4 linked regions of the Arabidopsis thaliana genome follow. The protein of the gene in region 2 interacts with the protein of the main gene of each other region in a pairwise test. Each region holds a gene or a part of one and is shown on either strand. Other genes may lie near its edges. The genes, in order: SCL21, AT4G14720, AHP2 and NF-YC2.

The links.
Region 1: the proteins of AT4G14720 (region 2) and SCL21 interact in binary tests that used the Arabidopsis thaliana proteins (3 or more experiments, as listed by UniProt).
Region 3: the proteins of AT4G14720 (region 2) and AHP2 interact in binary tests that used the Arabidopsis thaliana proteins (3 or more experiments, as listed by UniProt).
Region 4: the proteins of AT4G14720 (region 2) and NF-YC2 interact in binary tests that used the Arabidopsis thaliana proteins (3 or more experiments, as listed by UniProt).

The regions. Positions count from the first base shown.
Region 1 is NC_003071.7:1,717,981-1,725,747, reverse strand, and holds SCL21 (SCARECROW-like 21), read left to right. Parts: upstream 1-3,143; 5' UTR 3,144-3,157; coding exon of another isoform or gene 3,158-3,248; 5' UTR 3,249-3,467; intron 3,468-3,848; 5' UTR 3,849-3,931; coding exon 3,932-5,173; 3' UTR 5,174-5,387; downstream 5,388-7,767. Other genes in the region: AT2G04910 (Carbohydrate-binding X8 domain superfamily protein), read left to right, coding at 1,394-1,768; AT2G04900 (uncharacterized protein), read right to left, coding at 2,142-2,241, 2,715-2,758, 2,843-2,923, 3,008-3,078, 3,158-3,248; ZAP1 (zinc-dependent activator protein-1), read right to left, coding at 5,529-6,012, 6,109-6,264, 6,368-7,191. UniProt on the Arabidopsis thaliana protein: Probable transcription factor involved in plant development.
Region 2 is NC_003075.7:8,430,377-8,439,233, reverse strand, and holds AT4G14720 (TIFY domain/Divergent CCT motif family protein), read left to right. Parts: upstream 1-4,128; 5' UTR 4,129-4,299; coding exon 4,300-4,417; intron 4,418-4,599; coding exon 4,600-4,739; intron 4,740-4,874; coding exon 4,875-5,053; intron 5,054-5,538; coding exon 5,539-5,629; intron 5,630-5,717; coding exon 5,718-5,814; intron 5,815-6,123; coding exon 6,124-6,183; intron 6,184-6,379; coding exon 6,380-6,443; intron 6,444-6,516; coding exon 6,517-6,751; 3' UTR 6,752-6,774; coding exon of another isoform or gene 6,775-6,782; 3' UTR 6,783-7,261; downstream 7,262-8,857. Other genes in the region: ARD1 (acireductone dioxygenase 1), read left to right, coding at 7,367-7,384, 7,702-7,813, 7,894-7,988, 8,122-8,236, 8,320-8,444, 8,524-8,594, 8,708-8,750. UniProt on the Arabidopsis thaliana protein: Regulates the arrest of dispersed meristematic cells during lamina development.
Region 3 is NC_003074.8:11,260,314-11,267,442, forward strand, and holds AHP2 (histidine-containing phosphotransmitter 2), read right to left. Parts: upstream 5,250-7,129; 5' UTR 5,096-5,249; coding exon 5,030-5,095; intron 4,811-5,029; coding exon 4,680-4,810; intron 4,600-4,679; coding exon 4,528-4,599; intron 4,445-4,527; coding exon 4,373-4,444; coding exon of another isoform or gene 4,369-4,372; exon of another isoform or gene 4,318-4,368; intron 4,305-4,317; coding exon 4,232-4,304; intron 4,123-4,231; coding exon 4,066-4,122; 3' UTR 3,813-4,065; downstream 1-3,812. Other genes in the region: AT3G29340 (zinc finger (C2H2 type) family protein), read right to left, coding at 1-287, 1,071-1,793, 1,912-2,127; UGD2 (UDP-glucose 6-dehydrogenase family protein), read right to left, coding at 7,062-7,129. UniProt on the Arabidopsis thaliana protein: Functions as a two-component phosphorelay mediators between cytokinin sensor histidine kinases and response regulator (B-type ARRs). Plays an important role in propagating cytokinin signal transduction through the multistep His-to-Asp phosphorelay.
Region 4 is NC_003070.9:21,020,928-21,027,715, reverse strand, and holds NF-YC2 (nuclear factor Y, subunit C2), read right to left. Parts: upstream 3,235-6,788; 5' UTR 2,920-3,234; exon of another isoform or gene 2,612-2,919; 5' UTR 2,599-2,611; coding exon 1,999-2,598; 3' UTR 1,814-1,998; downstream 1-1,813. Other genes in the region: AT1G56180 (ATP-dependent zinc metalloprotease), read left to right, coding at 1-86, 236-295, 383-631, 715-791, 909-985, 1,067-1,199, 1,318-1,473; MYB72 (myb domain protein 72), read right to left, coding at 4,272-4,893, 4,979-5,108, 5,194-5,332. UniProt on the Arabidopsis thaliana protein: Stimulates the transcription of various genes by recognizing and binding to a CCAAT motif in promoters.

The sequences.
Region 1 (7,767 bases), on a different chromosome or scaffold from region 2:
GTTTTTAACATATTCACATAAAAATTGTTGCATTAAATAATAAATGTACATCAATTACAAAATTGTGTATTAATTCGTTTTTTTTTTAATTTAATATTAAATTATATTTAAAGAAAAACTAACATTTTTACAACTAGTAGTGCATCAAATGTTTGATTAACTTTGAAGCTAAAATTTTAAAGAATTTCGAGAACTATAAAATACTCAACTTCGCATCATTGTTGAGAAGATGAAAATTTTCTTGACAAGGATACGCAGATAAAAGTATTATTGCATAGACGCAGTTTCACAAATGTCTATGAATCTTCTTTTCATAATAGAAGTGGAGAACCAACAATGGTGATAGCCTATAAAAAGGCACCTGGTGATGTGTTACAAACAACCATATACTAGGCTTGTCAAGCCAGTGGAGCAGACTGCAATAAGATTAAAGCCTAACCAACCTTAGCTTGTTTCAAGGCCAGCAGGCCAACACTATCAAGGACCATGCCTTCGTTGTCTTCAATAATTATTACCAGCGTTATAAGCACAATGGAGGTTCTAGTTACTTTAATGGCGCATCACCGATTTTTTAAAAACATTTATCTATTTATGACTAAGAGGTTCCGAGCTAAGCACATACATTCTCACAAGCTGGGAACCAAAACATTTTATTTGGTCTGCACATTCATCCTCTTAGGCGGGAACCAAACCATTTTAATTTATATGGTTCTCTCCCGAGTGCCACTCAAAAATGATCATGGATTGCGACCCTAGTATGCAATTCTGGCTAAATCCTTTGGTTTTAGGAGGCTTAAAGTTCTGCTTCCAATATTGTTGTGTTTCAAAGTTGGTGGTGCAATAAATTTCACCTACATATCTTGTTTTACTCATTTGTTATTTTTGGTGCACATGCAATAAAGATTAGATGTTTCACTTTTCTCTTCTTCTCCAGCTAATGAAACAGATATTATATTCAAATGTAGAACTTCAATAAGATATATGGTATTAAAATTACATCAATTTGGTAATTGACATTATCCATTCTGAAACAAAATAAGCTATATATGATAAGCTTGACCACATTCCATATAACATAACTCATATATATTTGAATCAAATTCATAGTCAACAAAATTTGGCAGTTGATATGACTTACACCTAAATATAAGATCTTACATAATTCATTCTTTATTTTGTTGGTCAGAGTATAATCCATTCTAAACACAGAATACTAACACTATAAAATACTCGAGTTATAACCATCTTTAAGCTCTCAAACAGTTCAACTTGCCTCTTGTAAAAGATGAAAACTTTTTGTTTAGGGATAGCAATTGCTCTACTTTTCATAACAGTAACGTTTTCAGGTACAATATTATTGTAACATACACATAATCTCAAAGATCTCTATAACATGGGGTATCTTATTTTTGTAGCGAAAGCGGAGTTCGGACAATGGTGTGTAGCCGATGGACAGATACCAGATAATGTGATACAAGCAGCCGTAGACTGGGCTTGTCAAACAGGTGGAGCAGACTGCAGTACGATTCAGCCTAACCAGCCTTGCTTCTTGCCCAACACTGTCAAGGACCATGCCTCTGTTGTCTTCAATAACTATTACCAGCGTTATAAGCGCAACGGCGGTTCCTGTAACTTCAACAGCACTGCATTTATCACACAAACCGACCCTAGTAAGCAACTTTATCTAAACCCTTTTTGTTACAGTTATTTAAGCTCTTTGATCAATCAAAATCTTGAACCATCTGTTTCTGATTATCTCATGATTTGATAGGTCACGATTCGTGCCATTTTGAGTATGTGCCATTTTGAGTATGTCCAATGATTCAAAGGAAAGACCAAGATGAAATGAAAGATGATGAATTATACTACCGGTGAACAATATAAACAAATCTTTGTTGGAACTTGGAAGTTCTTGTAATGTAGAATTTTGATAAATTGTATGGTAATAAGATTACATTAATATGGTCGTCATTTACATAATCCCTTTAGCAACAAACTGAACAAGTAAAGGAAGATGCTTAATGGTTGTCGACACAGAATTGTTATTAAGCAATCTCTTAGGTAAACAAAAAAAAACAGTGAGTTCATATGTAGGATAAGCTTGACCACAAACTTGACAATATAGATGGTTATGAGATTGTTTAGAAAAGTAAAGTTGCCCATGCAGCAATGAACGCAAAGCCTCCGAATGGTGCCAATGTCGAAAACTTTCTGTCCTCCCGCAGCGCTACCATATAACACCTGCAACAACATTTCAACACACATGAAACTTCTCACATACTCATACCCGGAAATAGACTATTGAACACAAAACTAAAGTTATCTACTAAGCATCTAAAATATAGTTACTTCTCCAAAGAGCATACCTTCACATATCAAAGGAAGTACAAAGGGGACAAATACCATTCATTAACTCAAATACAAAGACCTATGCTATTAAATAAGTGATACAATGGTTTCCAAATGCTTCAGAGTTGGACACATGTCGAAATCGATAAAATCTCCCTAGCCACGAAGAATTGTGGCAAGTATTGCTACTGCTAGAGATTAGATATGAATTCTAGAAAGTCCAAATCATATCTAAATAGCTCAAATATCCATGAATGCACTACTATAACCTCAATGACAAGACATCCAACAAACATCTAGCACAAAAGCTCTACCATACACATCTCAAACTGAAGAATCTGAGAAACAAAAAGATAACAACTTACGTGCCGGAAAAGGCTACAATTCCAGCAGTCAACAAGCCACCAAACTAAGCAAGAAAAAGATATGTCAGCTCCATCAACTCTCAAAGGACAAAGATTAGAGAAACAGAGTACAAGAAGAGAAAGCTAACAATGTTGGGATATTTGGTGCTAGGAGCAGAAACAAGAGCAGCAGTGTGAACCAAATGGTAAAGTGAAGCCGTTTGCCACACCTGAACAACAACAAAAAAACCTAAACTTTCTCACAGAAATCCAACAAAGTATCGAATTTTCCAACAATTTTCAAGAATCTAAACCTGTTTGTAAGAAGGGTTCTCTGGTTTAAAGACATGAGCACCATAAGTTCCCAAACCAAGAGCAGCCATACCTAAACCAATTCTATCCGAATCAGTACCTTTCCTCACAAGATCAAAATCAAAAGATCATTACTTTATCTTAAATCTCACCGGAAATAGCGGCGACTTTGTGCCACATCCGAGGATCCATCGATCGTCGTCCTCTGATGTCTCTTAGATTGCTTCTTACACTATTTCCCATTTGACCAGAGACTTTAAGCGAGATGTGTCAAGTCGGTGATCGGGTCTTATTCGGTTTAAGCCTAAAACGACGTCGTATGTGATGTGTTATTTTCTTCACTACAGCAACTAAAAAGATTCTTCCTTTTGCTTCAGCTGCGAGCTTTGGTTGGATCTCTCACTTGCAAAACCAAATCCCTTATCGACTTCCACCGAAAGATCACTTCTTAACCTACACAAGGTTTGTTTTTCTCATAAAAATCAAACCTTTATTCTCTTTTCTTGATGATTTTGATGCTCTGCTTCTTCTTATCCACAAAACATGAAAACATTTCTTCTTTGATAAGTTTGATGTTGGTTTGTTGTAAATGATTGCTCTTTCTAGCAAGCTTTACTCTAAAGTGTGAAGAGAAATTGTCAAATTAGTTTGTTTAGGATTGGAACTCTTGTATGCCTTGTTTATTGATGAAGTAGTTCATGGCTGACGTAGATTCATAGAGTCATGAGTTGATTTCAATGATACTAGAGTTCTTGTTAGAGTTTTGATCTCCATGGATATTATTGTTCAATATTGATATCTAATTCAGTCTCTGATTAATGACTTTGTCTATGAATTCTACAGGTGTTTGTTATGAAGATCAGATAAATAAAAGGTCATTTGAGGATAATGGTTGATGTTCAAAGATTCTTACTTGCTTATTTGTGATGGACAATGTAAGAGGTTCAATAATGTTGCAGCCACTGCCAGAGATAGCTGAGAGTATCGATGATGCTATCTGCCATGAACTCTCCATGTGGCCTGATGATGCTAAAGATTTGTTATTGATAGTGGAGGCAATATCAAGGGGAGACTTGAAGTTGGTACTTGTTGCTTGTGCAAAAGCTGTTTCTGAGAATAATCTTCTAATGGCACGATGGTGTATGGGTGAGTTGCGCGGTATGGTTTCGATTTCTGGTGAGCCAATCCAGAGATTGGGAGCTTATATGTTAGAAGGGCTTGTTGCTAGGCTTGCTGCTTCTGGTAGTTCGATATATAAGTCTCTCCAGTCCAGAGAACCAGAGAGTTATGAATTTTTATCTTATGTGTATGTTCTGCATGAGGTTTGTCCATATTTCAAGTTTGGATACATGTCAGCGAATGGTGCGATTGCAGAAGCAATGAAGGATGAAGAGAGGATTCACATTATTGACTTCCAAATTGGACAAGGGAGCCAGTGGATAGCACTTATCCAGGCTTTTGCAGCTAGGCCTGGTGGGGCTCCAAATATTCGAATTACCGGAGTTGGTGATGGATCTGTCTTGGTTACAGTCAAGAAGAGACTAGAGAAACTTGCAAAGAAGTTTGATGTTCCATTCAGGTTCAATGCGGTTTCAAGGCCAAGTTGTGAAGTTGAAGTGGAAAATCTTGATGTCCGAGATGGCGAAGCCCTTGGAGTGAACTTTGCTTACATGCTGCATCATTTGCCAGATGAGAGTGTAAGCATGGAAAACCACAGGGACCGGTTGCTGAGGATGGTGAAGAGTCTATCACCTAAAGTAGTCACTCTTGTGGAACAAGAATGCAACACGAACACTTCCCCTTTCCTTCCTAGGTTCCTTGAGACATTAAGTTATTACACGGCAATGTTCGAATCTATCGATGTTATGCTTCCGAGAAATCACAAGGAAAGGATCAATATCGAGCAGCACTGCATGGCAAGGGATGTCGTCAACATCATAGCTTGTGAAGGAGCCGAGAGGATCGAAAGACACGAGCTTCTCGGGAAATGGAAGTCAAGGTTTTCCATGGCGGGTTTTGAGCCATACCCCTTGAGCTCAATCATTTCAGCCACCATTAGAGCCCTCTTGAGAGATTACAGCAACGGGTATGCGATTGAAGAAAGAGATGGTGCTCTGTACCTTGGTTGGATGGACCGAATCTTGGTCTCATCTTGTGCATGGAAGTGAAAGAATAAACGTCTCCAAGAATGTAATGCAAAAGACAGAACTGGAAGTAATAGATAGTTTTGTCTCATAACCATTAATAAGGTTGAATCAAATCATATACATCCCCATGCTACAACTATTACACAGGCTCCATCAACAAAGAAGGGCTCTTGTTGTGTTACCTTCTCTTCCTGTAACTCTTATTTGAACCAAATGGAAGTGGTTACATAAAGGTATTAAAGCATACTATTCCATTAAACACTAATCTAAATCTGGTCCCGCCTGAACAACAACTGTACAGTCTATAACCATATCGCCTGTACTAATCTATGTTAAAACAGCCATATAAATTACCACTCGGTACAACACTGAATGCTTAGCTTTGGGCAGGCTCTGTCTTGGGTTTTTGTTCCTCGCTCTCCAGGGTTCCTACTGCCTTCTCTTGACAAACAGTGGTTTTATCATCTGACTTTGCTTCCGGCTTGGCGTGATTGGCTGCGTGATCTTTGTTTGCATCTGATCTCTCTTTTATTTCCTCCTTCAGCTTCTCATCCAAAACTGGACCTTGATCAAGACTTTTCTCAAAGCCATTAGTCTTCGTTTTCTTTCTTAAGTGATCTTCGACATGCTGGTCTTTTGTAATGGATTGAAGAGTTGAGCTCTGTGGAGTCTTGTTGGCATCTCCTTCTTTATCATCAACTTCCGAGTCCAGCATGTTATTATGAGTAACAACTCTTCCTGGAGGCATATCGTGGTCGTGTTTTCCCTCGTAAGTTGTTATAAGCAACTTTGTGTCATGAGATGACCTCTCTACGTGTTTCTTGACGGGGCATCCAGGGCTTGAACATCTATAGTAGCTCCTAATACATAAAACATCAAATGGAGAAAGAACGTGAGCAGCGAAGAATGAAACCAAAAGTTTGACATTATATTTCAAACATGTAAGCAGTCACTACCTTGGATATGGGCTGCCTTTTACTGATTTCTGACCATATTTACGCCATCGGTACCCATCATTCACAATATCAAACAGAGTCTGAGTGTGAACCACAATGCGTGAATCATTGGTTGACCTCTCCACTGGACTCAGCTCAATGTTCCCTCCTTTCTTCCTGATTTAGTGACATCAACATAAGAAGAAAAAACAAGGAACACCAATGGTGAAGTCTTCCTCCAGAACCATGAAAAACAAACCGACATATCAATCATCAATACCTTCGCTTTGCGGTAGGACTATTATAATCCTTGTGAGTGTTGTCCCCCGTTATCCTACTTGATTGTGAAATATCAGTTTTCACATCATCAGCTGGTGGAATAACTGAAACATGTAATCCTCCATGGATCTTTGGTGGTTCGGTTTGACGAAGTGTCTGAACACTGGATCCAGATGTTTTCTCTACAAACATGATATCATAAGAAACAATGCACAGCTTATAAATTAGAGAAACTATATCTATTCTTTGTTCACCTTTACTAACAGCTGTGAAGACATCACTTCGCTTATCCTGATTGATAGGAACAGCACCAGCAAGAGGCTTTGGGTGATCATGTTCCCCAAAGTAAACGGTATCCACGACTTGTCCACCCGCAGACCGTTCCAACTGTTTTTTCGCTTTGCAGTTAGGGTGAGTGCACCTGTAATAGCTCCTTACAAACTCATTTCCTTTCACAAGTTTCTGTCCATATTTCCGCCAGTTGTATCCGTCTTCCATAACCTTCTCACGAATAAAAGGACTATTCCCTTCCGAACCAGACTGCAAAGATAATGCACCGCTACTTTCAGAAACCTTCGGTGCTTTCTCGGATACCGGGGAAGCAACATCTACTTCCGACTGCGAAGCTACCGTATGTGGAACAAGTTTTTCAAGCTCCTTACAGTCAGTAGATTCCAAACTTTCAACAACGGTTTCAGTTCTAGTTACAGCCACTGGTATGACCTCCGCTTTATCAGTAGTGGCAACAACATCATCCACTGCTTTAGTCTCATTTGAATGGTCTAACTCCATATCACTAGCCAGAACTTTTCCCACCTCAGCCATAAATACTAACAAACTCAAGTAAACTCAAAACCGGAGAGACTCGAGCTTAACCCCAAATATATCTAATTCCCAAAGCCTGAAGGAGAAATCAAAACAAACAAAAACCAAATCATTACAGTGAATTCACACTAAATTCCACAGAAACAACAATTAGGAATAAAATGTTGCAGAATAACCACTAAAAGTCTCCACTTTTGGGAAATTTCTATATCAATTACAATCTTAGTAAAGACTCAAAATTGATTAGTCCTATGCTTCACCAACGATCTTTAGACTCAAGTACTTTACTTTGAAACAAACAAAACCCCAAAATTAAAGCATTTGCTAAAATCTTATAACCAAATTACATAAAAAGTCGGCAAATTTGTTCCATTTACTACGGAGTTAAGAGACGACCCAGTAACAAGATTCGCATAAAGATTCAACATTTAATACTAAATTAAAGAATTTAATACAACTTCAAAAACAAAATAAAATAAAGAATTTACCTAGCACAGACATCGAGAAGATCATCATCCGACCAAATAAGATAATCCCAAAAAACCGAAGCTGCTTATGTTCTTGTAAGAATCTCGT
Region 2 (8,857 bases):
GGACATATGATAATTTTGTATTATATTCAAAATAAATATACACCGTCCGTCTTATGATCATTTTTTGCATTATATAATAATTCTTATATATATCAGTTTATATCATATATAATAGGATCTAATTAGTGTACACCCTCAATCGAAGTAGAATGATTCGAATCATCGTAAATCATTCAACTACTAGATCATTATGAGTACTTGACTATGTTAAGAATCTTACATCATAAAAAAATATGGGATATAAAGTAAAATATAAGGAGTATATAAATCAGTCGACTCACTCTCAAGTGGTTTTCAAGTTAAAAAGTTATGACCAAACCAAAAACAAAACGAGGTTCGATCCAAAACGATGAGTGAAAATGATTCATTATCTCAAATGTGCATGTTAGAATTCTCACATTAAAAGTGAAAAAGCAAACTATGCTAAGATATAAAAGATATGAGTCAATATATTCGTCGTCTTTTGGTACCACTCTTGTAACACCCCCAAACCGTCCTAAAAATAAAAAAGAACAGGGGCGTCACGTATGACGCCCGTAATCAATCAACAAAAGTTCCAAGAACGAATTCGTTCCCCAAAGTTGATCGACCGCGAGTATCTTTACCTCACGAACATGGCCTAAGGCTTTTCAACCCGTACCACATTCGTGAGTTGTGTCAGTTTGGACAGGACTAATATATCACTTGGCCAACTTCGGATTTTTAGAAAACCGCTTTTAAATTGAAAGTTTATTGGAACTAAAGATCTAGAAAGATTTTGAAACCAAGATATCAAAAATGACTATATATATGTCTATATGGTTTGTAAATATTTTTAATAAAGTCCAAATTATTGCATAAATCTTTGACTATATGTGTATGTATGTCAGTAAGAGGAACATGGGTTGTTGCTAGTTTATTTCTTTTAATGGTTGATCATGAGAGATTGTTTTATGCTTTATATCGGACTTCTATCACTTATTTTGAGACAATCCATATCAATAAAAAAGATTTGCCCACAAAAGACAGCATATACGGTTGGGTTGTTCTGCGGTCGTCCAATTGTAGTCACCATCAGATAGTTCAAATCGCAAGAACCACAAAACAAAGATGAGGCCCAAGAAAAAGACTGACTGATATGATTTAAATGGGCCTATGAAAAGAATAGGCCCATTAAAGGATGGTAAAAGTGTCCCTACAAAGGGGGAAACAGGTCCTGACTCACTGACTCATCCTCTGTACCCGACCCACGCACTCGCGACCCCTCTCCCTGCACAAACATAACCTGTACGGTTCTTCAATCACTATTCATATTTTTTTATTTAAATACCATTTTTTTCCTTATAATATAGTAGTTTTCATGTTCATTACTCGATTATCTTTGCATTTACAAAAAAATAGATATTACACATAGTTTCAAAGAACAAAAAAAAGTCAAATTTACACTAACTAGCTTTAGTCCTTAGTTTAGATATATATATCTAAAAAGCTAATAATTTAGACGAGTAATTTAATTAATTCGACTAGATATTATTTGTCTAGTGGTTTATCTACTTTTGTGTAATAATCCAAATTTTAAATTTTGGATGTGGATGAATGAGTTTTGTAGACAATATATATATTTTTATATAAATCTGAAAGAGAGATGTTAGAACGATAAGAGACCATCACATTTGTTAGGATACAGCAATATGAATTGCAATCTTTACTTCGCCTTAATAGCAAGATCTTGAGCTCGATCAATTAATCACTTTCGACTCGACAACACATATTGAGAAAACCAAACAAGAAAATATATATTAGAGAACATAAATTGACATATATAGTGTTCACCAACCAAAATGGTGAACTACTTCAAGTTAGCCTCACAAGATTGTTGTAATCGATGGAAGTTTACAAGTTTAGTTGTTCTGATCATCTTATTAAACCAGTAATCCGACTAACAATTGGCTAGTAGTTCACCTATATGTTATATTCCAAAACCTCTCATATTCATGGTCAATTACAAAATCACAATATTGTTTTTTTTTAAAGCACATCATAATAAAGTCAACAATATATAATTTAAAAACCTTTAAGAAAAAAATAAATTTGGGTAGGGTTTGGTGAGTGGTGTCGATAGAAATGGCGGATGCATCCTTTAGATTAAAGGTATGGTACCAACTTGGATCCATTTCTTCGATAACGACTCTTCCTATTTCCACTCTGTTTTTTTTTTGTTTCCCTCTTCTTTATCTCATATCTTCCACTACTCTCAATAGTCAATTCTATATCCCAATTTTTATGTTAAGTTTTTACGATTTACAAGTTATTGGCAAATTGAAAATTGCTGTCAACTTGCTAGAGGGTATTGTAACAGTACTACCAAATATGAGGTCGAGTCTTAAGTGCTATATATGGAGAGAGATGATTTACGTTTGTGGAATCGCAATAAGTATATATTATCAAATGCTAGTCCATGGACATAAAACTATGAGCCAAAAATTAGAAATTTCTGGTTAACAATAACAATAAAGAAAAAAAAAATGGTATATGCATATACAGTATAAGGTAGATAGTTTTGATTTTTGAAGACCATTGATTAATATTATATATTTCAATATCAATTGTTGGTAAGTTATAAAAACCTTCAAACGAGAGTGAATTAACTTCAAAGTCACAAAGTTCGACTTTCGATGTTAAAAAAAATAAAATGTTTACACGTTCCATTCTCTTGTTCAAAAAAATTATGGATCAGTATTCCAAATTTCATAGTAATCTAAAAAGAAAAAGTTGCATTAATATGGTTTGCTTATCTAATCATTTTTCGGGACATCACCGTATGTATGGATGACGAAACTATATTTTAAAAAGAAGTTTTCAACTGTTCGTTTATTCATGCATGTATATCTTGACAATTACGACATTGGATGAATTGAGTGATGAATCCTTATCGTACATCACGAGTATAATTACATGTATCATGCATTGTTATCAATTATCACTTTATATATTGGATAATGAGAAGGGATGTCACGCAAGACCAAGCAAGGTTTAAGGGAGAATCGATATTGGTCAGACTCATGTGAAAATATATTTCTCCTCCTTCGTCTTGTCAATTTATTACTCTATCTCTTGTATTTTTCAATTGTTTTGGTATTCACTTCAGAAAATGACTAGTCTTCGTTTTTATGTGTTGAGCCATTTTCATTTACATGCATCTAAATGATCTACTGAATATGGATATCGAAGAGATTTTTTAGTATAATGGTTTGTGCTAGATCCTTTAACAAAAAAGTAAATGGTTTGTGCTAGTGTTTTTGTTGTATTGCTAATTTGCTATCCAATTCATAGCACACATGTTGTTGCCAAACAAATGCTAAATCCATTTTAAAAGTATCAACTAGTAAATTAGCTTAACAAATTTTTTGTTAACATGTTTATGAGATGTTTTTTTAAGAAAAAAAAAACTCATTTAACATGATTACATTTAGGGTTTGATTGGTTGTTTTAAACTGAAAATTGTCTGTTTGCAAAAATGTTTGGAATGATTATCTTTTTGCAAAAATTGCGTGACATGTTGAAGTGTTGCAATGCTGGAGGTTCTGCTAACTAACAAGTAATAATCGTATAAGTGACATGATCTTCCATTTTTTAGAGATACTAACCAAGAATTGTAAAACCAGGAAAAAAACACTAACCAAGAATTGATGATTGTCCATCTAGACTAAAGTAGTATACAAACAAAACACAAAAGATATTTTGTTCTATTTTTGGAATAACTCTTATCCATTTATAGAAATAATTAGTTGTTTAATCAAAATATCACATGCAAATTGATCGTATGCGATTTTAGATAAATTGACATCCACTCAGTAATAAACAAACAAGATACTCTCTGATTACAAAATAATCTCTGTTTTCTTTCGTGTCATTTTTCTTTATCACTCATGCTATTATTATATTTAAATTTAATATAAAACTGTTACCATTTACTATTTTATTTCACTGTTTGACGCGAAAAAAATAATCAGCATAAGATTTACCCAAAAAATAAAAAATAATTGGGATACTTAAGCAATGCATGATTAGGCTATAATCTAGAGAGACTAATAGGATGCTTACGTGGCAGTCTAGGGAGCTTCGCTGCTCCAAAAACCATTCCCCTAAAATTGAAGCCCATAGACTATTAGCGACTTCACTCTTTCTCTTTCTTTCTCTCTCTCTCTCTCTCTCGCTCTTCTAATTTTGCCCTCAAAACCCTCCAATTATTACGAAAACGCCACTGCTCTCTCGTCGGGACTCCGGTGAGGCCGTTTTGGCCGGAATCTGACAAGGGATATGGATGTAGGAGTTACTACGGCGAAGTCTATACTTGAGAAGCCTCTGAAGCTTCTCACTGAAGAAGACATTTCTCAGCTTACTCGCGAAGATTGCCGCAAATTCCTCAAAGAGAAAGGTTTCTTCTTCTTCCTTTCTCCATTTTTTTCCGGTCTTATTGTCTTCGACGGTAGGATCTTCCTCACGGATTTTGCTGAGAAGAATCGTACATAGTCAATTTTTTGAAATTCTCTATTCTTCTTCTCTCCGAGCTTTTTTTTTCGCTCTCTGGAGAATGGCGGCTGACACGTGTCGAAACAGGAATGCGCAGGCCTTCGTGGAATAAATCTCAGGCGATCCAGCAAGTTTTATCTCTTAAAGCTCTCTATGAACCTGGAGATGATTCCGGCGCCGGAATCCTCCGCAAGATCCTTGTTTCTCAGCCGCCAAATCCGCCTCGCGTGAGTGTTGTTCTTCGATTTTGTTTCGATTTACAGAGAAAAATCTAAGTTCTGAAGTAGTAGAGAATCGTTTACTTGGTTGGTGCTGATTTAGGGAAAATTGTTGTTCTGTGTGTACTGCTGTTTTGTTCACAGGTTACAACAACGTTGATTGAGCCAAGGAACGAGCTCGAAGCTTGTGGAAGGATTCCTTTACAGGAAGATGATGGTGCGTGCCATAGAAGGGATTCTCCAAGATCAGCTGAGTTTTCTGGTAGTTCTGGTCAGTTTGTTGCGGATAAAGATAGCCACAAGACTGTTTCTGTTTCCCCCAGGTTTACATTTTCTTCTATAGCGTTTTGACTTTGTGTGGTATCTTTCTTCTGCTTTCATGCCTCAAGAAGAGAACTGATGCATTGTGACATTCTGTTTGTGATCTTAGAATAAGTACTTGGTTTGATATCAGTGTCTTAGACATTGAAAAGTTTCTATATGAATCATGGTTTTGATGGTGGATTGGTCACACAGAATTTAGGTTAAAAGAGTCAGATAGATCTTCTTGGTTCTGTGTTACTCTTTACTCTTCTGTTTTGAGGATTGGTATGATGTGATGTGATTATTGCTAGTGAACGATAAATCAGTTACTTAGTCCATTAGTCTATATGATTTGTGAATTCTGCAATTACTAACAAGAGTTTTAGGGGTAGTTCATGTACAAAGTCTTATTGATATTAGGTGCATGTTGTTTTATAAACAAATTACTACTCCAATGTTATTTAATTAAGTTGTTTAAACACGCTTTTTTGTAATGTTGCATCAGAAGCCCAGCTGAAACAAATGCGGTGGTTGGGCAAATGACGATATTTTATAGTGGCAAAGTGAATGTATATGATGGAGTACCACCTGAAAAGGTAAATGAATCACATAATTCTGTCCAGCCTGAAAATATAAATTTTGATGGTATGGTTTTGATCATTCATCTTGTGTATTGATTTGCAGGCCCGGTCTATCATGCATTTTGCAGCCAATCCAATTGATTTGCCTGAAAATGGTATTTTTGCTTCTAGTAGAATGATTTCGAAACCCATGAGTAAAGGTAAGCATTTGCTAAAGTGTCTGATCTGCTTTTCAGTTGAAAGATTGATGATTCAGACTTGAAATGAGTTTTTTTTTTAATGTATAATCTAACTTGAAAAAATGACTAGAGCTGCTGCATCTCAAGATGAGTCTTTCTTTCTTTCTTATGTCAAACACGGCCTTTCATTTTGTCCAATTTTGAAAGGAGGCATTGTTAAATTACCAAAGAAGCATGTCTAAATGCTGTAATTGCTGCTACCTCTACTAGCTTATGTGTCTACAGATGCCTCGTGCCCCTTTTTTTGAAATTGTGATTTGATTTTTTCAGAGAAGATGGTGGAGCTTCCCCAATATGGACTTGAAAAGGCACCTGCTTCTCGTGATTCTGGTACAAACAGTACTCATTTTACCTTAAAGATATGAAATCCTATTATTCAATGATGCTTTAAAACACCTGAGAGCGAAATTTGGTCCACCTCTTCACCTCTACATGCTACGCTAAACTACTTGCTTGTTCTGCATGATATACGACCATGAAATTCTGTTAATTTAACTATTGTTCTTTTTGTTGGTCTTTTCTGAAGATGTTGAGGGTCAGGCGAACAGAAAAGTATCGTTGCAAAGATATCTTGAAAAGCGGAAAGACAGGTAGTTGTTGCTATTATGCTGTGTGCTTGCTTATTCCAAATCGATGAATACTGATACCTTTCTTTCTGAGCAGAAGATTTTCTAAGACCAAGAAGGCTCCAGGAGTTGCGTCCTCTAGCTTGGAGATGTTTCTGAATCGTCAGCCACGGATGAACGCTGCATATTCACAAAACCTTAGTGGCACAGGGCATTGCGAGTCACCTGAAAATCAAACAAAAAGTCCCAATATCTCAGTTGATCTAAACAGTGATCTAAACAGCGAAGGTATGAACAAGCATTTGTCAAATGGTTCCAATGATCTCCCTTAAAACTCTCATTCGCTTTTTTATAGATAATTAACAAGGTGCCAAAAGAACTGGAGATGGTACTACGGGTCAAAAGGCGGGAAGAACAATTTCATGTTCTTATAACATGTTAGCCATGTACAAAAAGAAAGAAAGCAAACAATGAATGTTCTCGTTCATTGTGGAAGAAACATGGGTTAAAGATTTGAGCTGGATCAGTGCGGGTCTTGTATGGTTTTGTTTTTTTTACGGGTTGCGTCCATCTTTTTTGGTCTGTAGTTTTGAGTAGGTTAGAGAGACGCGAGAGAGAGAGAGAGGATGTGGCGGTTTGTATTATGTAAATGCTTGTCTTATAATGAGAGAGACCTTATTGATGATACCAATCTTTGAGGTCCAAGTAACACAACTTCTTTGTGATTGATATGTATGAGATAATTAATTTGTCTATTTTCATGGCATGATGTATGTGATATGTCTGAGATTTGCAACATTCTTCTATAAAGTTGAGAAATAAGGGTAGTTTAGTCTTTTTAACCAAAGATTTTTATTTATTTGATCTTTTCCCTGTTTTAAAAAGAAGAATCGAGTAATCGGGTGGTTTTGAAGACGAAGAAGGACTAAGACATCACGAGGAACACGATGGGTGAAGCGGTCAAGGTATGTTTTTATCTTTGTCTCCTCTGCTTCTGATCTGTTAATGCCAATCGATAATTCCTAGTTTTGCGATGCAAGCATGAATCGTCGATTGTTATCTGAGTGATTTGATTCATTTTCGACGATTTTCGAATCATCATAACTACTTCTTTTGCTCAAATCTCGCAGTCAGTTTAATGCCTATTCGTATTCAATTTAGTTATGCAATTGACGATTTCTCGAATTGTCTGAAGTTTTGAAGCTAAAATCAGATTAAATATAAAATATCTGAACATTGCCTCCCAAGGAATCTAATCCCATCTTGATGTGCTTTTGCTTAGGATGGGAGAGAAGAAGTGATTCAAGCTTGGTATATGGATGATAGTGAAGAGGATCAGAGACTTCCTCACCACAAGGATCCTAAAGAGTTTGTATCGTTGGACAAACTTGCAGGTCCCCCTCTTTGTGTGTTTCAATTCAATGTTGTTCTCTCTGCTTCTCTATTTTGTTTCACATGTAATGTTTGTGTGCAGAGCTGGGAGTACTTAGCTGGAGACTTGATGCTGATAACTATGAAACCGATGAGGATTTGAAAAAGATCCGTGAATCTCGTGGTTACTCTTACATGGTTTGTGGTCTTTATTTATTTACTATCCCACTAGACTTGAATGGTAGATGTTTATTTTTGTCCAAGTCTTATTTTAACTCTCTAGGGGTTTTCTCAATCTTGGTTTGATGATTAAAAAGTGTTCAAAATGCAGGACTTTTGTGAGGTATGCCCGGAAAAGCTTCCAAACTATGAAGTGAAAGTGAAGAGCTTTTTCGAAGAACATTTACACACTGATGAGGAGATCCGTTACTGCGTTGCAGGAACTGGTAAGAACTTCTTTTACTGGCGGCTTTACTCGTAAACTTAAAATTTCGATATAGTAGTCATGTTTTATTTTCTTGGGAAAAAGGTTACTTTGATGTGAGAGATCGTAATGAAGCTTGGATTAGGGTATTGGTAAAGAAGGGAGGTATGATAGTCTTACCTGCTGGGATCTATCATCGCTTCACTGTGGACTCTGACAACTATATCAAGGTGCAATGTCAGCTTTTCTTCTAGCCATTTATTTTATAGTTTGGGCTTGCTTAGAAAATTGAAATATCTTGTTGAACAGGCAATGCGGCTATTCGTGGGTGAACCGGTATGGACACCATACAATCGCCCACACGACCATCTTCCTGCAAGGTACAATGTCCTGGGTTTTCCCCTTTTGTTTGTTCTCTTATGCAAACAATGGGATATATAATCAAGCAAGAAATTCTGTTATTTTACGAGAAATAAATTCTGATATTTTACAGGAAAGAATATGTCGATAACTTCATGATCAATGCCTCGGCTTAGAGAGCTTCCTCTCTCTATATCTGGCTTTCTGAAACAAGGATCTATAAACAAGGCCTACAATAAAGAAAGCTTTCCTGTCAAGTATTGGATATTTATATGTATTCCTG
Region 3 (7,129 bases), on a different chromosome or scaffold from region 2:
TAAACTCCTTGACACAACATAACCAAGTTCAATGCAGCTTCAATCACCTCATGTTTCTCAATCTCAGCCATAAAAGAAGATCCTTTGAATCGATCAAAAGCTGAAACAGAGCAAACCCTAGACTTCTTCTTAAGACCCCAAATCCTTTCCAAACCATTCTCATCTTCGATTCTATTGTGATTACCAGAATGCATCCTCTGGTGACCATACACACCTTTTAAAGTTCCAAACTTTCTCCCGCATGTTTTGCAACCATGAAGTCTCTGAGACATTTCGCCGACAAAAACCTGAAAATTGAAACAAAGCTCATAGCTTTTCCGTTTGATTTTCTCGAGAAAACAGAGAAGAAGACAAAGATCGCGAAGAAACACACAAAATCAGACATTTCTAAGAAGAGAGTGATCATGTTTCGCTAGAAACTTGAAAAAGTCTAAAGCTTTTTCCAGTTTATTTTCTCGGGAAAATGTGGAAGAAAACGAAAGAATAATCGCAAAGCAGAGAGCTTGATTAGCTTACCAGAACAAAATCTTCACTTGATTTTATGACTCAGGAAGAGAAAGAACACGTTTTGACCTAATCCGAAGAGCTGAAGACCTTAAAGAACACTTTTTTTTTACTTATCGCAGAGTTTGTAGTATCGCTTTCGATCTAAGCTATTGACAGACAACAATGGAGAAATTTACTTGTTGTGGAAGCTAATGAGTCTATTATGCAAAAGAAAGAAGACAGAGGATAGTTATATCCTACACTCACGCGTATCATAAACTTGGTGCTCCCTAATCGCTAAACCAATTAATTGGTTTAAGTAATCAATTTTGAACTTTGGATTGGTTCTGTATCTGAAAACATGAGTTAACCAAAGAAACTGTATTTGAACCAAGCAAGAGGAAAATGTTAAGTATACATCTGCAACTTCTGTACTTAGAAGAGAAAAAGATTCAACTAGTAGACTAGCGAGAAAACAGTTCACTGAAGTCTTGTTTTGACTCAACACAATGGAAGGTCTTCTCATGATAGATTTCAATGCTTGATGGTAGTGAAGCAAACTTGCTAGCTTCTGAGTCAATCACGCCAAACAGTGAAGTACTATCTTCAGTTTTCTCATTTTTACGCGCTACTTTTTTCACTTTGATCGATTTGCTGCAACTAATAGACTTGTCGAAACCCGAGTGAGCAAGCAGTTCACCGAAGTCTTGTTTTAACTCAACACAATGTAAGATCTTCTCCTCCTGAGAGACTTCAAAGCTTGATGGTTTTTTAACAATCTTCTTAGCTTTTAATGAGTCAGAGAATGGATTATAGTCTTCAGTGTACTTCCTTTTACACGCTAATTTCCCGCTAATCTCTCTGTGAACTCTTTTGTGATTACCTAAACCTTGAGAACACACAAAACTCTTGCCACATATTTTGCAATGACAGCTTGATTTCCACTGAGTTTTTGTCTGCAATTTACTTCTCAGAGTAGATGGTAATGCACCCGAATGAGAAAGCGGTTCACTGAAGTCTTGTTTTAACTCCACACAATGTAAGAACTTCTCCTCCTGAGAGACTTTAAAGCTTGATGGTTGTGAAACAATCTTCTTAGCTTCTGATGAGTCTAACAGTGAATTCTCATCTTGAGTACTCGCTAATTCCCTCTTAGTCGATCTGTGAAGTTTCGTGTGGCCACCTAGACCTCGATAACACCCAAAAATCTTGCCACATACTTTGCATTCATAGCAGGAGCTACTACTCTCAGGTCTTTTCTGCAACTTACTCTTCCGAGGATATACTTCACTGAACTCTTGTTTCGACTCAAACACAATCTAACATCTTCTCCTCTTGGGAGACTTCAAATTTTGATGGTTTTGAAATAGCATCTAAGGACTCAAACAATGAATTATCAAATTTAGTATACTCCCTTTTACGCACTAGTTTCTCTTTAATCGGTCTGTGAATTCTTTGGTGACCACCTAGAGCTTGATAACACTCAAAACTCTTGCCACATATTTTGCATTTGTGACTTGATTTACTCTGCAGATTACTTCTCAGAGCAATAACACCACTGCAAGTAGTAGACTTTTCGAAACCCGATTGAGAAACCATTTCCCTCAAGTCTAGTAACAACTCAACACCATCTAAATCCATGGAATCATCATCATGAGGAGACAATTCAAAGCCATACTTTTTCTGAAAACAAAACCAAGCTCATTGCAGCTTCTTCTTCCATCTCATGCTCCACAATAGTCTCAGTCATAAAAGAAGTTTCTTTTAGTGACACTGAAACCGAACAAAGACCCCCAAATCCTTAGCAAACCGAGTAAACACCAGAATCAATCCTCTGGTAACCACATACATGAAGGTTATGGATTTTGCCACCAAGATGAAAACTTTCATCTGATTGAACCTGTTTCAGCATCAAATACGTTAAACCCACAAGAATCAAACACAGGAGAGTGAGAAGAAAACACTGAAATTGTAAAAAATCGTGAGCTTTTTTCGAGAAAATAGGGGAAGAATCAAAAGAATGTAGAAAGATGAGAGCTTTGATCAGCTTACCAGAGCAAAACACTAACTTGAATTTAGGTATCAGGGCCTGAATCGCTGAGCTTGATCTGCAGAGAGTCTAGCTCTCGCTCAGCTTTTAACTCGTAGAGACTGATGAAAAAAGTTACTTGTTGCGGAAGCTATGAAGGCTATTTTGCAAAGAGATAGTTATCTCCTACACTCGCGTCTACAACTAACTACGTGCTCCCTAATCTCTAATTTTTTTATTGGTATCTTTTATATCGGTAATCTACGTTGGTCTAAAACCGGTTTGTGATGTATCCCAAAATGATTATCACATTTTCTTAAATGTCCATTTCGGAAAAAAAAGGGTCTATTTCCAAACTATTACCAGAGTTCAAAGTATGACTCCGATCTATAATTTTATATATCTCTAAAACTAAAGTTCTATACCTAGTTTTCTCCCTAAAATAAAATTTCTATATACAAATCTCTCCAAATTAATAGTTCAAGATATATCAACCCACAATTATTGGTTTCATTGGTTTATTAACGGGATAAATGTCATTTAAATCATCACTTTACCATTTCCGTTGGTTTTGAAGCATAAAATCTCGATCTAGTGATTTAAATCCTCAATTTTATGTTGACGTTCAATATAATCACGAATTCGTTGACTAAGCCAATTAAGGCACATCGTTAGAAATCTTTCTAATCAAAATTTTTGATTTTTTCTCTCTTTTTCTTCAGAATCTCTCATCTTCTTTGGAATTTCTCTTCTTTTTCGAATTCAAAGTAATATTTCGTCTTAAGGTCGATTGACGACATCGAAAAAAAGAATTTGTGTCTCAATTTGCTTAGTCAACAAGAATTTGTGATTAATTTGAAAGTCAACATAAAATTAAAGATTTAATTCACCAGATCCAAAGTTCATGATTTAAACCAACGAAAATGGTAAAGTGATGATTTAAATGACATTTTCCCCGTTTATTAACTACATGCTCCGTAATCTCGTCGAAAGCGGTTTGTGATTTATCCTGAAAGAATTACCATATTTTCTTAGAATGTCCATTTCGGATATCGAATGGGTAATGGTTTAGATTTAGGTTTTAGGGTTTACGATATTCATATTCTGATAAGGAGACAGGTTGTAAAAATTTGGAAAGTCACTACCAAACTTTTACTAATTTGAGTAAAGGTCAACTTCGAGACAAATAATTCAGATAATTACGAAAACATTATGGGCAAATTTGGGAAACTAAAAGATCTAAACACACAATTTTTAGAAGCACCCACTAGTCAAGACTTACTTAGTAATCACTATATCTTACTCAAACCAAACCTTTCAGAAGCAAACCAATATATATTATCATCACATTCATTAGTCCAATGGTTTCAATTTTCTCGGATGAGATCAAACAATACATACTACTGATTTATAAACAACCATCACTTGTTTTTGTTTCTTTTTGCACATATTTTATTGAGTTTTTGAGCAAACACCAAATCCAAAATAATTTAGAAGAGAAACTAAAGAAAGAAAGTCATCATCTTTTTTCTTCTTATGGACTAGTCTCTTTAGTTAATATCCACTTGAGGAACTATACCACCAGCTTGAATGATCTGTTTCTCAAGCTGAAACAACAACAACAACAACAATGTCAATGATTTGTTCATTACTCATAACCAAAATGATTCATTAAAAGCAGAGCCAAAAACAGAGATGGATTCTATTCACACTCACATTGAACATATCTTGAAGCTTTGTCTTTAACGCCTTGTACTCAATATCCACTTGCTGCAAACATCTCACACACCTGTAACATAACATGAGACTATTATTACTCAACCAATGAGTCCCAAGAGAAAACCATAACTCGCTTACCCTTCGTAGTTCTTAGCTTCACAACATTCCTTGAAGCTAACACACAAAGTTTTGACCCTCTTGGCACCAACACTACATAGAAACAACACAAAGCTTTTCATCAATCAACAACACACAACTTCTGCTACTTATATAAAGCGAGACATGATACATACCTTGAGCTACTACCCTTCAATTGATGCACACTAGCACCTACCTGACTAAAATCTACAGTTCCTGTCGTGTCCCTGAAATAGAAGTAGCCACAATCACACTTTAAGACAACACAAGCAATGATGATCTAGCTGAGAGAATATCAAAAACTTACAAAGCTCTAGCCATGTTACTGATAAGCTTCACACAATCTTCAAAGAAAAGTGAAAGCACTTCAGACACAAAATCAGGACTTCCATCATCTTGTAGCTTTTTCAACTCAGTAAATTGATCATCCAAAAACCCCTTCACATAAAAAAAACACAAACCCATGAATCTAAAGTTCCAACCTTTACACAACTCAAATCCCTAAAAATCATAACTTGTAAAAATCTACATAAAGATTCAATCTTTCTTCACTTTTGTCATGAATCTATGCATATAGGAGTCAATCTAGTGTGTATATGAGCTAAATTAGCTAAGCAAAGAGATGAAATTGGGTTTGAAGAATTGTGGAATTGAAACCTGTTGGTAGAGAGAAATGGTGTAATCACGAAATTGTCTCTGAAGCTGAGCAATGAGAGCGTCCATGAGAAGAGTGAAGCGGAGATTGGGAGAGGATTTTTTTGTTTGGACTTTGATTATTGACTTGGATTTCTGGAAATAGCCAATCCCAAGAAGAAGAAACTTGTGTTTTGTCTTTCTCGCGAATTGTAACGCTGCTACCAGATTTTTTTACTTTAAATGGGAAACAATAATTAAAAGAGAAACACACAAATATTTGGACATTTTTATGTATTTATTTATTTGGGTGAAAAAAATTAAATAGAGAATTTTCATAATTAACATAATTTTAAAGTTTTTTTTGATAAAAATACCATTCAAAAGTTTTGTGAACATAAATAACACTCAAATAATTATTTAATTTTTAATTATTACAACTAACATTTAAAAAAATACAAAAATTCATACCAAAAATTTTCAACAATATTTTTCTACAAAATAATTTCCGTCAAAATTTTTCCACCAAAAATAATTACGCCGCCCACATTTTACCTACAAAAAAAAATTCAGAATTTTTTTTACAAAATATAGGAAAGATTTTAAGCAATTCAGGAAAGGTTTCACGAAATTTATAATTTTTTTCTTTTGTAACCCTTCCTGAATTTTGTAGAATTTTTCCTGAATTCCCGAATTTTTCTTTTTCGAAATTCAGGAAGAATTTTACGAAAATTTTTTTTGTAAAATCTTTCCTGAATTCCGTGAAATCCTCACGAATGTCGTAGTTAGCTTCCTCAAGTTTTTTTACAAGAAAAATTTGACGGAAAATTTTTTTTGCGGGAAAATTTATTACCGAATTGTTTTGGCAGAAAATTTGACGAAAAATTTTTAGCGGAAAATTTTTATTTTTATTTATTTAAATAAAATTAATTATTTATATTTAATATTTAATTAAAATTTTGAAAGCTACTTGTGAAATTTTTCAAAAAGTTGTTATTTTTGGAAGAAAAAATTTTGTTGGTGCTATTTTTGTCAATCCCAATTAAATATTTTTTTTTTGGGAAACATTTGGATTCAATACAAGTTTTTAAGTAAATTATTGGTATTTGGTTAATTAATAAAAACTCTTTTTCTGAAAAATATAATATGAAACACTCATTTAATAATATTAAATCTAATTTAATTTTCTTATATAAAAGAAAAATATCAATCTTATGTTTCGATTTACTTGGAAAAATTAAAGTATTTGACATTATATTTTCTTTTCAAAGACCCAAAAAAAAAAAAAAAAAATTGCAACTTATTATTTCGATATTTTTAAATTACAATTAGACTAACCATTTAAAAGAAAATTTTGTGTATAAGATTTTTAATATTATTCACATATAGTTTTTTATGGTATCAGAGCTATATGTGATATGGTAAACTATTCACATTACAGATTGGAATACTCACCCAAGTTATGTAGCCAACTTCGGTGTGCGTACCTAAAAGGTTAATATGTGGTCACTAGTACTGTAAGGAATGCCTCTACGAATGGATTTATGCATATTTACTTAAACAAAAAATACCAATCGCAATGAGAGACATACAAAAACATAAAGCTTTAAATATGGAATCGTTAGGTGTCACTCAGAAATCAGAATCTCCAACCTGGAAACTTTTACAAGATGCGTTTGGTTCCTAATCCACCAGAGAAGAGATATCATGTGATTCTCTATGAACAATGTGCAAATATTCTTCCGAGTCAACTCTCGCAGACAAAGCTCAATAAGTGGCAAAACTTTCAACGATTAACTACAAAGTACAAACACATTTTACTCCAATATAAACCAATATTTATTTAGTTTCTAAGGAAACAACAAAATTGAAGCGACATTGTCGAATACAAGTCCTCTTCGACCAAAAAAATATGAAAGTAATACCAAAAAAAACAAAACACACACCAGAGAACATAACAAACATATTGTAAGAAATATAACAAGTCTTAAAGACAAACCACAAGAAGAAGAAAAGCACAAATGATGGAGGACGAAAGAGTCAGCAATGAACATCATTAGGCAACGGCAGGCATGTCCTTGAGCCAGTCGTCGAGAGGCTTACCAATGGAGTAAACAATGAAAC
Region 4 (6,788 bases), on a different chromosome or scaffold from region 2:
AGATGATATGAGACTTGTTGGAAGTGCGTTTAGGTTTCTTAAGGAGAGAGGTCTTTTGGCCAACTTCGGCAAATTCACCAGTATTGGTACTCTGTTTTCTCTTCTTTGCGCCTTCAAAATCAACTTCTGTTTAGATAGATGTACAAAAGTAATGTTTAGCTATGTGTGCGAGCATTTGAACTGATTAATTTGTATCGTTTCATAAGTTTCTTGCTTCTGTATCACTGTGATGCAGTTTTGGAAGGAACAAGAGAGGTAACACCTACTGTCCTGAAGTCTGCAACTGGCTTGGAAGGTGTGTAGCTCAAATTTCTCTCTTCAGTCATCTTTGATTACTCAGTGTGTGGCGATGGAAACTTATTTTACTGTTTATATTGGTTAGTGACTAAACTTTCACCGAAGAAGTGGGGACTTTCTGGTGGTTCTAGCATTGCTCTGGCTGCTTTGCTGGGTGGAGTCTCCTATCTTCTTTCACAGGAGATTGATGTGCGGCCAAACCTTGCTGTCATTTTGGGTCTAGCTTATTTGGATTCCGTTTTTCTTGGTGGTACCTGCTTAGCCCAAGTATCATGCTACTGGCCTCCACATAAGCGTAGAATCGTAGTTCACGAAGCTGGTCATCTTCTTGTTGGTAAGACATTCGTGATCATTAGTATTTTTATGAAATTTCTTTCTCGTTTTGTGGCTAACGATTGCAGCTTATTTGTCGTGCAGCATACCTCATGGGCTGCCCAATCCGTGGTGTGATATTGGATCCGGTTGTTGCCATGCAAATGGGGGTTCAAGGCCAGGTATTATTTAGATTCACTCTAGTGTTATACTATTCTATTTTGTAGTGCTGTGATTCTATGTTCTTTTAGCTACATATGGAACCGAGTACATAAATGGATTATCATGTGTTTCTCTAGGCTGGAACCCAATTCTGGGATCAAAAGATGGAGAGTGAGATTGCTGAGGGACGACTTAGCGGTAGCTCATTTGATAGGTGATTATTAGTCAAGGTGTTGTTCTCTCCCTCTGAGTTTTCTCTCATTCACAAACCTAATGCTGGTTCAGTTTCTCTTAGGTATAGCATGGTACTATTTGCTGGTATTGCAGCTGAAGCGCTAGTTTATGGTGAGGCTGAGGGTGGAGAGAATGATGAAAATCTGTTCAGGAGCATCTCAGTCCTTCTGGAACCACCGTTATCCGTAGCTCAGGTCAGGACTAATGAAATTCATATATATCTGATTTGACTAGTATAATATGTGCTTCCACTTTTCTTGCACAAGTGTACAGATTGTTAAGCATTGCGAATCTGTGCGTTTGATCATACAGATGTCGAATCAAGCCAGGTGGTCTGTTCTACAATCTTACAATCTACTCAAGTGGCACAAGGCAGCACATAGGGCCGCTGTTGAAGCTCTCCAAGTGGGAAGTCCTCTTAGCATTGTGATTAGAAGGATTGAGGAAGCCATGTCTTCAAGCAAATGATTGAAGCACCAGCATTTTCTGTAATTTATTACTAATACGGACAGCCCATAAAAAAAAAACTCATTTGGAATGCATGGAGACCGAAGCAGATAAGCTCTCGGTATCTCGGTATATAAACCACCTGACTGCAACTGGAATGGCGAGAAGGGACTTGTATCTTTGGATCCATGTTCAAGTAAGTTAAGGTTTTATCCACTAAGGGAGATGTGGAGGATGACAAGGTTTAAACTTTAAAGGAATAGGAGCCAAGCTTTTAATAGCATAAAGAAAATGGTTGTAAAGTAGCAATCACATGAAAGCTGTATAGTTGAATTCCTGTGAAGTAAAGTTTTGGGCATTACTAGTAGTGATTTTCTTTCTATCATTCTTGTTATTATTTAATGCACATGAGAACAGAAACTGCATTGCCATAGATATAGACTGGGGATATACTAACATGTCATTACAGAACACAATAGAAATGGTTCCCAGCAGAGCAGAGCTACCTTACTACGATACAACCAAACAAACGAAAGGGGAAAAGTTTTAAGACTCATCAGGGTGTTGCTCCTGGGGCCAGTGTTGCATCATCCCCTGTTGTTGCAAGTAATAGTATGGCGGGGAACCCACCACCGATGGTATGGTCCCTTTGGTCACGCCTAAACCTTCTTCTTTCAGCTCGTCCCTCGGGATTATGTCCACAAGGAAATCAAACACGTCGGTCCTGGAAATGGCAGCGGCGATGTCGTTCTTCTGCAAGGTCCTCCTCTTGTTCTCCTCGGTGTGGATCCAAGCACGTAGAGTGAGCTCCAAAATGAACATCTCACAGGCCTTGGCAAAAATCACAGGAGCCTCCGCAGAGATCATCCTCACATCTTCATCAGCTTTCATGATCTTCTTGATGCGGGCTAGGGGAAGGGTGTGGTTCTTGAAATCAGTGGTATGCTCGATCTCTTGCATTTGGTTAGCCCAGAACATCTGAAGCTGCTGCTGTTGTTGCTGCTGATGGTGGTGGTGGAAGTGGTGAGCTTGTTGGAATGCCATATGGGAAGCTGCATTTACTGGCCCACTCTGATAAGCATGAGGAGGTACATAATCCATCACTCCCTGTTGCTGTTGCTGTTGACCCTCTTCTGACTGCTCCATTGCTAAGCTATCTCTGTTAATATAAAATTGTAGATTGACAGTTAATCCAAAGTTAAGGGATTTAGAACCAAAGTCTAAAAAAAATCAGAAAAAAAGAAGCGCATGCATGCTCGAATTAAGCTCAGATATGCTGGTTTCAAATCCGGATTTGGGAGTCACGACCCAAGCAGAGCACGATTCACAACATGGACCAAAGATGATAACTTTTGATCCTTTACTACGGTTTTGTCAAAGCTAAAGGATCAAAGAAGTGAAGAAAACGAAATTGGAGAGAGAAGTTTCCAATAGAAACAGAAAATGGAAGAAGAAACACAGACATACCAGTGAGAGTGAGATCTCGCGAAACCCTAAGATAAATGGGTTTGGGGCGGGTTAGCTTTTTATCAAGCGTTTCTGGTGGTGCGTATCTTCCGCCTAGTTGACACGTGTCGAAAAAGCGGGAGTTTTTACGTTACTTCCACCTGTATGCTTTTCATTGGTTATGTTGTGTTATTCCAGAAATTTCTTTATCGGACGGTTTCGAAGAATAACGAAGAACACGTGAAGTGCGCGTGAACAAAAGTCACGTGACATTTGCAACGTCGCGCAAACTTATTTTCGAAGAAGCCCATTGGACCTTGTGGGCTGTAAATCACCCGGGCCGGATCAAAACTTGACCCTAATTGTCAACAGAGTAAAGGGAAACGGGAAGCAGAGGAAAGGAAACCATCGAAAGAAGTTGCAGAGGCAAAGGATCCATCTTTGCTATCGCCACTCTTCTTTGGGGTTCGAAAGAGCCAGACTTTGTTTAATTATGCCGATAATTATGTGCAGAGTCGTCGCTAGTTTTGTTCTGTAAGGAGCAGAACAGTCTCCTCCATCCCTCTATGTGAAGTCCACAATTGCTCCACTTTTCAGAAGCCAAGGTATCTTCTTACTGCTAATGTATTTACCATACGTGTTTAACTTACACAAGCTCTCTTCTTTGTGTTTTAATCTGTAAGAGATTGGTGTAGTTGTCGGATTTCTGTTAATCATTGCGTGCTCGGAGCTGTGAAATTTGTAGTTTTTGTGATTCTAGTGTGATATGTGATGATCCCAAACAGGTCATGTGCTTTAATAAACGGTTGGAGCAAGAATCAAAAGTTTGTGTATTCTTTGTAGTATTTGTTCTGTTTTTTTCTTTTCTTTTCTTCTTCTGTTTGGTCTCACTGAGACCGTCTCAGTCTCTCAAATATGTATGGACTTAGGATAATTCAGAAGCTTTTGACATTGAAGCCCTTACAGGAAGCAAATATCAAGTGATTGAAATGATGAGTACAGTTGGAGTCATATTTCTTGTTGTTTGTATCTAGGCTAAGAAACTTACACACACCTAATTCGATTTCAGGACTTGATGCTTGGTGTGGCGCCTGATCTCGACACACCGGAAGCAGTCGATGCTGCCATTGCCAGCCATCAACCTGCGACCTGTTTTGGCCTCTGAAAACGGAGACTCTGAGAGCAGCCATAAGAGTGATCGAGAAGGAAAAGAGAAGAGTTGTTTGTGTGAATCTAGCCGAAAAACGAACCAATATCATAGAGCTCTCATAAAACATAGCATCTTCTCAATGCATGGGCAATCCATGTAAAATAGTAATTTACTCAACATTCAAAAGTGGATACAACACTGGTCATGCATATATTATTGACATTCATAGACATACTTCTCCGACGAAATTAAAATCATCAAAGTAAGTTTGGTTGTCAATGAAGTTGAACCACTCGTCGTACTCATTGTTAGGTGTGGTTGATTCAACCAGCTGTCTCCTCAAGTCGGATTCTTCGTTTGTGTCTTCAAATCCGCATGGGATATCCGGTTGAGGATGATCAAATGATTGCGATTTGGTTACCTCTCGAGTCATTTCTTGGGTTGAAATGTGAGTTTGGTGGTTATGAAGAAGAGAGTCTAGCGGAAATAAGATATCGTTATCCTGAAGAAACTCAGAGGTTATATCATCAAAGTCATCATGGTCGAGCAGGAACTGGATCTCGTTGAGTCCATTAACCTCATGAAGCTCTGGTTTTGTGTGCATACACTCGCCTTGGTGATGTGACGAAGTAGCTGAGTTTTGGCTCTCATTTAACCCTGAATGTATTTCTTCTTGAGCCCCGTCACAGTTCTTGTCATGATCTGCTTTTGTGCTTTGGTCATGAGTGCTAGAGAGGGATGAAGAAGAAGAAGATGGAGTGAGTCGTTTCTTGAGATGCGTGTTCCACACGTTTTTGATCTCGTTGTCAGTTCTTCCCGGCAAGAAGGACGCGATCTTTGACCACCTGATGATCACATATATCAATTAGTCTCTACATACTATATATTGTCTTATTATAAAGAAATTAGATGAATAGGTAGAGTACAAACTTGTTTCCAAGGGTTTGATGGTAGTGAATGATAGCATCTTCCTCCTTTTTGCTAAAGTTGCCTCGCTTCACGTCCGGTCTCAGATAGTTTATCCATCTTAGTCGGCAACTTTTCCCACATCTCAACAATCCTATGTATATATATCAATCATTATTTCTCTTAGTTATTTAAAACTTTATAGTATTACCGAAACATGCATGTGAATAAATACTAACCAGCAAGCTTGGGAAGAGATCTCCAGTTTTGATGGCCATGTTTTTGAATAAAAGTGATGAGAGTGAGATCTTCTTGAGGGCTCCATGGCCCTCTCTTCACTTTGTTCTTGTCGCAGCATGGTGCTCTTCCTTTCCCCATTCTTATTACACTACTTTCTTCTCTATAGCTACCTTCACTATATCTTTCTCTATATATGCAATGTTATGTTTTTGATTATTATCAGGAGCTCCTATATATATATCATTGATATAACCCGGCTCTTTACGTCAGAAGATGTTTTATAATTATTAGTTAGAGATTAGATTTTCCACTCCATTCAATAAAACTCTTATTTATTTGAGGCACTTCACTCGTAGAGAGAGACCCAAAAGCATGGAACGTACGGAAGTTAACGGCAGATTTTAACTAGTAATCTCTTAAATTTCTTTTGTTACTCATATGCCCGTGTACAGATCATAGTGTCCATTAAGTATAATTGTGTAAACAAGTTATGCATGATTCATTGACGAGTTACGAAAAATATGTATATTAATTTGAGCATCACGGAAATATTTAAATAGTTTGATACATTTCTTGATTATTCAGTTTTAAATATTTTATACAAAAAGATTTTCGACTTTAGATTTTGATATGAGCGAGTAGAAATCTAGTATATTGTAAACTTTAGAGCGGTTGTTTGTGTGCGTGTGTGTTAAAGACCACAAGGGCCATGCCACAAACAAAAGTAACACCAATTGGAGAAATAAATAGAATAAATCTGTAGACTGTAATCCTAATTAATTCAGATCAGTTTATTTTTTATTAATCCTGACACTTATTATTTGACATTTAGTTCAGAAGGAGAATTCAATAATCCTTTTCTTTAGCCTATTAACTTATTTACTCGTCTTCGTATTTCTTATAAAACTCAACCCACATCATCATCATCATCATCTAAGTTTACTCTTATTTACTCCTTTTATTTACTTCTTAATCACTTTGTATCTAATGTTTAAGGTTTTTACGCATAAATTAAGAAAACACAAGACATTCATTTAATTTATCTCTTTTACATAAAAACATCATTAAGTTCAGTTTTCAGACAATAACAAAAACATGATGTAAAACATAATTAGCCAAAAAAATTAAGATATTAACAAATTGAAAACATCACTTATAATGAATCAAGAACAAAATACCCTTAAAACATCACTTAAATTGATGTGGAGGGAATATTATTTACTTTTTTTTGCTATGAAGTTTTAATACAAAGAATAATGAAAGTTCACATTTCTATTAGTAATTAGAGAATACTGGTATATATAGACATTGCGTTTTAAACTGAACATAAATGACTTATCTTTAAAACACCACTTCATAAAATTTCAAAATATTTATATCTAACGTATAAATGACTTCATAAATGACTTATCTTTAAAACACCACTTCAGAACGCAAAGTTCCTTATTTGAAAGAGAAAAATAAAATAAAAGTTTAAACACGAAGTTGTACATCCAAATCATGATGTATGATGATTAATTTTGTAGTTGTTTAGACTATAAGTTGTGATGATTAAATTATATATTGGTGTTTTCCATAAATTAAAATATGGCAT